Linked DNA regions of Callithrix jacchus. The protein of the gene in region 1 binds, or shares a complex with, the protein of each later gene. Links are inferred from orthologs where the notes say so. Each region holds a gene or a part of one and is shown in the gene's direction. Other genes may lie near its edges.

What was found.
Region 2: the proteins of tubulin alpha-1B chain (region 1) and MATCAP1 are in contact, whole or in part, in a cryo-EM structure (PDB 7Z6S), measured with the Homo sapiens proteins. The link is inferred for Callithrix jacchus from reciprocal best matches to the Homo sapiens genes TUBA1B and MATCAP1. Residues at the interface, in NP_006073.2 of Homo sapiens: Asp345, Trp346, Arg422, Glu423, Ala426, Ala427, Glu429, Lys430, Asp431, Glu433, Glu434, Val435, Gly436, Val437, Asp438, Ser439, Val440, Glu441; in NP_001035805.1 of Homo sapiens: Lys219, Cys220, Trp223, Val226, Arg227, Gly237, Glu238, Val239, Val240, Val241, Gln242, Leu243, Met253, Met254, Val255, Glu256, Asn257, Ser258, Arg259, Pro260, Thr261.

What each region holds. Positions count from the first base shown.
Region 1 is NC_133510.1:70,423,489-70,428,093, forward strand, and holds the start of tubulin alpha-1B chain, read left to right. Parts: upstream 1-1,759; 5' UTR 1,760-1,854; coding exon 1,855-1,857; exon of another isoform or gene 1,858-2,264; intron 2,265-3,777; coding exon 3,778-4,000; intron 4,001-4,122; coding exon 4,123-4,271; intron 4,272-4,605. UniProt on the Homo sapiens protein: Tubulin is the major constituent of microtubules, protein filaments consisting of alpha- and beta-tubulin heterodimers. Microtubules grow by the addition of GTP-tubulin dimers to the microtubule end, where a stabilizing cap forms.
Region 2 is NC_133521.1:24,684,808-24,688,509, reverse strand, and holds the end of MATCAP1 (microtubule-associated tyrosine carboxypeptidase 1), read left to right. Parts: coding exon 1-9; intron 10-105; coding exon 106-203; intron 204-1,575; coding exon 1,576-1,740; 3' UTR 1,741-2,899; downstream 2,900-3,702. Other genes in the region: NOL3 (nucleolar protein 3), read right to left, coding at 3,439-3,446, 3,549-3,702. UniProt on the Homo sapiens protein: Tyrosine carboxypeptidase that removes the C-terminal tyrosine residue of alpha-tubulin, thereby regulating microtubule dynamics and function. Also able to remove the C-terminal phenylalanine residue of alpha-tubulin TUBA8.

The sequences.
Region 1 (4,605 bases):
GTGGCTTCAGAATGTCTAGAAACCTATTTTGGTTCCTAAACTATTCAAAATTTCTGCACAGAGATAGCTTTTCTGGATAAAATAGCTTTTATCCAGAGCTGACAGCAAAATGGAGTTCAGCAGGGTGGTTCCCTAACATTCGTTCTTCCAGTTAAAGCAAACTAATTATTTTCAGACTCCTTTTAAGAAAAAGTAACAATGGGGGTGGTCCAATGGGAGTGGGTTATCAGAACTTATTAACATTAGTGTCACTAAAATTGGTATACAACCCCCCACTTCTAAATTTAACTGGCTTAATTTTTTTTTTAAAGAATAAGAGGAAAAAATAAGTGAGAACTGAATATTGAATTGAATATTCAATATTCAAACATTCCAGCCTTCTCTACTCAGCTGGAAAAATGTGTGCAAATTTGGATTTTTGAATTAAATGCCTTTAATAAGACTATCAAAAATATTTACCAGAAATAAACAAGAACCTCCTGGTTTGCAGGTCAAGTTCAGATGGGTGGACACACACACACACACATACACACACATAACTCATTACAAAATACACACTTATTAACCACATAAATTTATTTGTCTGAAATGAAGGATGAAGGCTTTACCAAATCTTAATAGGCTAATAACTGAAGATGAACTATGAATTTCTAGTGTTTTAGGTTTTACCTTTTTGTTTCCTATATACTGGGCAGATATTTTGAATAGTAACATCAATAGGTTTCTGCTAGGACCATTTTAAAGCCACATTTTAAACCTAACCACCTTCTTCTGCATTTCCAAGGATTAGCAATGTGGTTTATGGTCTTGAAATAGATTTTCAAGGGGCGGGGCGGAGGGAGAACTAGTCTACTATAACGTAGGCCTCCAAGCGCTAAGCTATAACCAACTGATGTATCTTGACATAAGGCCAAGCAGTCTTATTTACAAAACTCTAAGTTGCACAAGGAATCCCTACTTCCTAACATCCTTCAGTGTCCATTTATTTCCTCCCTATCCAAGTTTTTTCTCACTTCCTTAACTCGGCTATCACCTCTGAAATGTGTTTTTAAATCTCCTTTTCAAAAAGCCCCTAGGACTGTTCCATAAAGTTGATGGCTTCGATCCAAAATTCGGGCCTACTCTGCCCTTTTAACAGCTTCAATGTTAAATGCTCGGGCACTGTTCTTCGAATGACTGAAATATTATTTGCCTCCAGCGTTTGGTACCCTAACTTTCGAGAACAAGTCATTACAGTAAACCAAGTACACCTACTCGGTTTTCTAAAGCTCGTGTTTTTCACATTATCAGGTAAGCACAGAACGAACTGAGAAAATAAAAAGGCAAAACTCACAAACAGTGGCAACATGAAATTAATCAGCTGAGCTATCCGAACCACAAGTTTCTGCATTTCACGGTGCCTCATCTTTCAAATTGTATGGCTCTCCCAAGTCCTAGGCTTCCTGCGAATTAAGGCAAGCCTCCTCGCCCATTCCGCGATCGGTGTCTTTCCGACTCGCGCCCGCCCCCCCGCCAGGCCCTCGCAGCCATGCGCCGCACACTGCAGCACTGGCGCGCGCGGCCCGCAGGCGCGGCGGACCCCGCCCCGCGGCCACGCGAGGGGAGGGGGCTCGGGGCTGGAGCCCGCCTTTGCGGCGGCCAGGCCTGGCGCCGAGTGGGCGCGCCGGGCCGGAGGAGGGGCTCCCGGCCGCGGCACCGCCTGTGCCCGCCCGCCCCTCCGCAGCCACTACTTAAGAGGCTCCAGCGCTCGCCCCGCCCCAGTGCGTTACTTACCTCGACTCTTAGCTTGTCGGGGACGGTAACCGGGACCCGGTGTCTCCTCCTGTCGCCTTCGCCTCCTAATCCCTAGCCACTATGGTGAGTGGGCCGCGCGGCTGCCGGCCGCTTTCAGGGCAGCAGGGATACGCGAGTCGGCGGGGTGTGGGGGAGCCTGTATACAGCGGGGGAAGGCTGGCCCCAGAGCCGTCCGTTTGAAGGGCGGCAAGCGGGACGAGATGCCAGATCCGGAGTCGTGAGACCTCGGTCTTTGTAAATGGCGGGGGCCCGGAAAGGTTGAGGGGCGCCAGGATTTCTTCTCAGACTCTGGAAGGGATGGGAGGGCTCAGCCCTCCGCCTTATCCGGAGCTCTCTTTTAGCGCGTAACTCTGTCCTGGGCGCGGCACCTCGAGTCCCAGCAGTCCTTTACAGCGCATGCCCTTCCCCCGCCTTGGGTGGACGCGCGCGCCGACTCTTCTAGCCCTCACTTCCTCTTGATCGCGAAAAGCGGGGGTGGGAAGGCGCTGGAGACAAAAGCGCGCACGCGCGACCGTTACCTTCCCGCCGCTGCAGGGCGGGAAACCACCACTGCGGTCTGCGCATGCGCGCTGGTGGCGGCGCGACTACGGCTTCAGGGCGTGTCTCTTGTTGACCTGAGGGTTTTTTTTTTAAATGGAAGCAGTAAGAGGGGCCGGGCGGGGTGGATCACCTGAGGTCAGGAGTTTGAGATCAGCTTGGCCAACATGGTGAAGCCCTGTCTCCACTAAAAATGCAAAAATTGGCCGGACTTGGTAGTGCACGCCTTGTAGTCCCAGCTACTCGGAAGGCTGAGGCAGGCGAATCGCTTGAACCTGGGAGGTGGAAGTTGCAGTGAGCAGAGGTCGTGCCACTGCAATCCAGCCTGGGCGACAGAGCCAGACTCCATCTCAAAAAATAAAAATTAAAAAATGCAATAAGAGGAATGTGAGGAAGTGTACCGCACTACACCAGTGTATTAGGACACTTAGTTCACAACAGCCTTTAGAGGCCACCTGTCTCTCCCTGCTGCGTTGGGAATTCTGGGGAGCAGGTGGTGCCAGTGAGGGATTTTGAGGGAACGGAAATCGGATCTTGGTTCAGATCTGGGCCGCCGATAATCCCCTACTGCGCTCAGACTGCTGTGGAGGTGTTAGGCTGAGCTCGATGCCGGCAGGCAAGGGAGGATGGGCAGCCTGGGCAGCGCCTTTGCAGACGTGGCCATTTCGTGCCTCTGCAGCGCCCCCGGGGGGCGCGGGAGCGCGCGCCCTGAATTGCTCATTCATCCTGTGCCGCATAGCCCCACCCCTTGTCCCTGCGGACAGACATTTCTGCGCTGGTCTGGCCACGTGCTTTTCCTGTGCTAGGAGCTGCCCGGAAATGTGGCCACTCAATCTAAAGTGGGATTCTGGGGCCGGAGCGCTGGATGGATGCCCACCCTCCTGTCTTGGTCCTCCAAAGGAGGAAGCTGTGACTAAGCTGTCGTGATCTGGAAGAAGGCCTTCCCCGTTTATTAATGGGAAGGTAACATGCGTTAAAAGCGATATAGACCCTATAATGTAGCTGTTCTCAAAAGAGTAATACATCTTATGTCGCTTTAAAAAAGAAAAAAAAATTTTTTTAAGATTATGTGATAGCCTGGGTAACATAACCAGACTCATCTCCTCCAAAAAAGAAAAAATAAGCCAGCCGTGGTGGCCTGTGCCTGTGGTCCCAGCTGCCCTGGAGGCTGGAGTAGGGGGATGACTTGAGCTCAGGAGGTTGAGGCTGCGATGAACCTGGACGGCACCACTGCACTCAAACCTAAGCAACAGAACTTATCACTAAAAATAAAGATTGCATGGGGGATGACTTGAGCTCAGGAGGTTGAGGCTGCGATGAACCGGCACCACTGCACTCAAACCTAAGCAACAGAACTTATCACTAAAAATAAAGATTGCATGAGTATTTTGTTTCACTTGACAGTCACCAACAGATTAAGTTGTGATGTATTTTTTTCTCCCACAGCGTGAGTGCATCTCCATCCACGTTGGCCAGGCTGGTGTCCAGATTGGCAATGCCTGCTGGGAGCTCTACTGCCTGGAACATGGCATCCAGCCCGATGGCCAGATGCCAAGTGACAAGACCATTGGGGGAGGAGATGACTCCTTCAACACCTTCTTCAGTGAGACGGGTGCTGGCAAGCACGTGCCCCGGGCAGTGTTTGTAGACCTGGAACCCACGGTCATTGGTGAGTTGGCCTCGGTAACCCAAGTGAGATCCCAGGGTGCTGGGACAGGAGGTCTGTCCTGGGGGATCTGCTGGTTACTCGCTCACTCACCCAGTCCTTCTGTCCTCCTGTCCCTCCTCCAGATGAAGTTCGCACTGGCACCTACCGCCAGCTCTTCCACCCTGAACAGCTCATCACAGGCAAGGAAGATGCTGCCAATAACTATGCCCGAGGGCACTACACCATCGGCAAGGAGATCATTGACCTCGTGTTGGACCGAATTCGTAAACTGGTATGTTTCAAGAATAAAGTAAATTAATCTGCCTTAAAAGGACATTTGAAATAATGCTGTTTTGTTGGGGATTTTTTTTGTTTTTTGAGACTGAGTTTCGCTCTTGTTACCCAGGCCAGAGTGCAATGGGGCGATCTCGGCTCACTGCAACCTCCGCCTCCTGGGTTCAGGCAATTCTCCTGCCTCAGCCTCCTGAGTAGCTGGGATTACAGGCACGTGCCACCGTGCCCAGATAATTTTTTGTATTTTTAGTAGAGACAGGGTTTCACCATGTTGACCAGGATGGTCTTGATCTCTTGACCTCGTGATCTACCCGCCTCGGCCTCCCAAAGTG
Region 2 (3,702 bases), on another chromosome or scaffold:
CGCTTCCGGGTGGGCGCCAGCGTAGGGGAGGTGCCTAGGGTGGGGTGGGTCTAGAGGTAGGGCCTCGGGCGAGTGGCCAGGCTCACCGACTTCCCGCGCTCCCAGGTTGTTTCAGCAAGGACCAGGTGTACCTAGACGGCATCGTGCGCATTCTGCGACATCGCCAGACCATTGATTTCCCGCTGCTGACCTCACTGGGCAAGGTGAGGGATTGGACCTTGAGAGCCTCAGCCAGCTCCCTGCTTTGCCATAGTATACCCTGAGCCTCAGATTGGTGCTGGACTGAGGGTTGGGTGTCAGGCCTCTGCTGGCGGGGGAAGCGTGGGTGGAAGTGAGAACAGGAGATGAAATGACTCTGACAGCTAAAATCATATGCCTAATGGAGGCTGCAGGTGTGTTTAGAAACTGCATCTCAAAGGAGGTGAACATTCTAGGCCAAGGGAGCAATCAGGAAGGCCAGGGGAAGGAGGCTGCAGAAAAGGACATTGACCAACTCCCTGGTACTGGCGCACTGGCATTTGTGCCAGGCCAAGGAATGTAGACCTCATCTGAAGCAACAGGGAGTGGGAGGAGCTTTTTTTTTTTTTTTAATTTTTATTTATTTATTTTTTTGAGACGGAGTTTCTCTGTTGTTACCCAGACTGGAGTGCAATGGCACGATCTCGGCTCACTGCAACCTCCGACTTCTGGGTTCAAGCAATTCTCCTGCCTCAGCCTCCCGAGTAGCTGGGACTACAGGCATACACCACCATGCCCAGCTAATTTTTTTGTATTTTTACTAGAGACGGGGTTTCACCTTGTTGACCAGGATGGTCTCCATCTCTTGACCTCGTGATCCACCCGCCTTGGCCTCCCAAAGTGCTGGGATTATAGGCGTGAGCCACCGCGCCCGGCGGGAGGCGCTTTAAGCAGAGGAGTGGCACTGATAATTTGCTTTAGAAGGTGCCCTCTGGATGTTTTATGGGAGGTGGATTGGAGAGAGGCCTAGGGAAGGGAGGGAAAGGGCATGAGGAGGAGGCCTTTCCTGTCACTCCTGCAGAAGGGATGGTGGTCTGGCATAACCAGGCAGTGGCCATGGGGTTTGAGAGGAAGGGACTAGCTGGAGGACTCTTCAGAGAGGGGAATCCTTTTAACTCAGTGGCTTCCCTGATGGGAGGGTGAGAGTCCAAGCCCCCTCCCTGGAATCTGACCTGGGTGACTGTGAAGAGGGTGGAGCTAGCATAAGCTGGCACCCAGGAGTTGACCGTTGGATATGGGGCCAGTCTGAGGGCTATCCAGGGGAAGACGTTAAGGAGGCAGTTGGATGCCCATGTTTGGAGGTGAGGGGAGAGGCTGGGCTGGAGAGAGGAGTGGGGTCGTAGGAGATCTCTGACAGAAACTATTAAGAGAAAAAGCAAAGACCCAGGATTGAGCCTAGAATGTTGTAGTACAAAACGTTGTAGCTGCTTGTGGATCAGGAGGGGAGAGGAAGGAGTCGCGGACCAAAGGGCAATAAGCTGTAAGCAGTGGGCTGGGACCGGCCACCTGAAAGTCAGGGGCTACTGCCTATGCCTGATGCCCAGCTTCCTCCTGCAGGTGTCCTATGAGGATGTGGACCACCTGCGGCCCCATGGGGTGCTGGATAATACCCGGGTGCCCCACTTCATGCAGGACTTAGCACGCTACCGGCAGCAGCTGGAGCACATCATGGCCACCAACCGGCTGGATGAGGCAGAGCTGGGTCGTCTGCTGCCAGAGTGATGTCAGTTGAGGGCTGCAGGCAGAGGCCCTGGACAGAAGCTCCAGATAGGCCCCCAGAACATGAAGCTGTTTGCTCTGTGCTTCCTGGGTGTTTCTTGGGGGTGTTGAGAGGGCGGGAGCATTCCGTGAGGAGCGTCAATATCAGAGGGTTTGTGTCCATTGCTAGCCTTCTTGGGGCCTGGGGACATGTAGCAGCATGTCTGGCAAATTGAGTTGCCCTCCTCCTTCCAGCTCTCTGTTGAACAGAGGGAAGGCATGGGGGCAGGAACGGAGCTGAGCATTAATGGGGATGGGTTTGTTTGGGAATAGAAACTTGTTCTTGCATGAGATGGCTTTGGGTGGCTGGGTACTCCAGTGTCTCCCTTACCCCACCTGGCCCCTCGGTGCTCCTTCAGCATTTGTGCTGTCTACCTCTCACTGGGTCCTGGTGGGGGTTGGGATCCCTTCTCCTGGGGTGATTGATGGCCTGAGCCTGGGGTCAGTAGAGACCCAGCTGGTCTGGGGTATTCTTTACAACACTTTGCCTCTCTCACTGATTATGTATTTATTCCATATTTATGTGCTCTATTTCCTATGGCTGGGAGCAGCAGCTCCTGAAGATTCCATGGGGAGAACAGGATACTCCTTCCTGGAAGGCACCGATTTTCCCAGCCCCACTCACATTACACACACACACACACACACACACACACACACACACACACACACAGTGATTCAGGCCTTGTGAGTCAAGCCCAAAAGTTCCCTTGGCCCTGTCCCCACCCCTCCACTGGCCTCTGCTGTTCCTGTCTTTGCCCACACTCTCACAGCTGGTTTCTGGCAGAGGTTAGCACAGCCTAGGAGCAGCTACAATTGCGTCTGAGGGACAGGCCCCTAGAGTTTGGTGGCCCAAGTCCTGAACCCCTCCTAGACCAGGTGAGGTGCATAGGTGTTGCTGCTTCCAGTTTCCCTTCAGACTTAGCTGTGTGAACCCCACTCCTACCCTCTGGCCTTAGTTTTCCCATCTGTAAAACTCAGAAACGCAGTTGGAAAGTCCTTATTCATTTAGTCAGCAAATATAATATGTGTACAGTGTCTTTTGTGTAAGTTACTAGTCAGAATCCTCACTGAGCTCCCAGTCCAGAGGGAAGCCAGACAATTAAAACAGTAATGACAATGATATGATGTCTGTGGCCTCTGTCTACTCCCCTCTTTCTGCTCCCCTCTTCTAGTCTCACTTCTCAAGTCTGTGAGCTCTAAGCCCTCCCTACATGGAGAGAAGTCCCCCTCCACTTGCTACATGTTAAACCCAGGGACTTGCATGGGGTTGAGCTGGTACCTACACAGGCTGCCAAGTGACTCATTAGGGAAAATGGGTTGTGTATGTGGGCATGAGGGTCAGGTCCTTGTCCCAATAGGGCACTGGGTCTGAGGTCTCCAGGGTGCAGCCTGGGCTCCTAGGGGCAGATTAGGACTGGGTGGTGATTGTGGTGGGCTTGGGGCTGCCCAGGTCACTGAGACTCAGGGGCACCCACCCTCAGTTCCTGGGCAAACAGCCAGAATCATGGAGAGAGCCCAGGACCTGGCTGACCCTCGGGAGTTTCTTTACTTCTAGCGGTACTGGGCTGGACCGAGCCTTGGTGGCATCTGATCCAGCTCCGGCAGCATCCCAGGTCCTATCCAGCATGGGCGGTGCACAGCCGGTCAGTGCTCTGGCCTTCAGGAATCTAGAGATGACCGGGACAGTTGTCAAGGAGGTGGGGCCCGCCATCCGCTCCCCAGGCGATACCCTCCCGCAAAACCAGCTCAGGGTTTCGGTGGCCTCACACCTTCGGACTCGTCCCCTTCCTCGAAGTCGGGCTCCGGCTCTGAGTCAGGCTTGGGCTCTGGGTCGGGTTCTGGGTCCAGTTCCGGCTCTGGTTCTGCCTCAGGCTCGGGTTCCAGCTCCGGCTCCGGCTCGGGTTCCAGCTCCGGCTCCGGCTC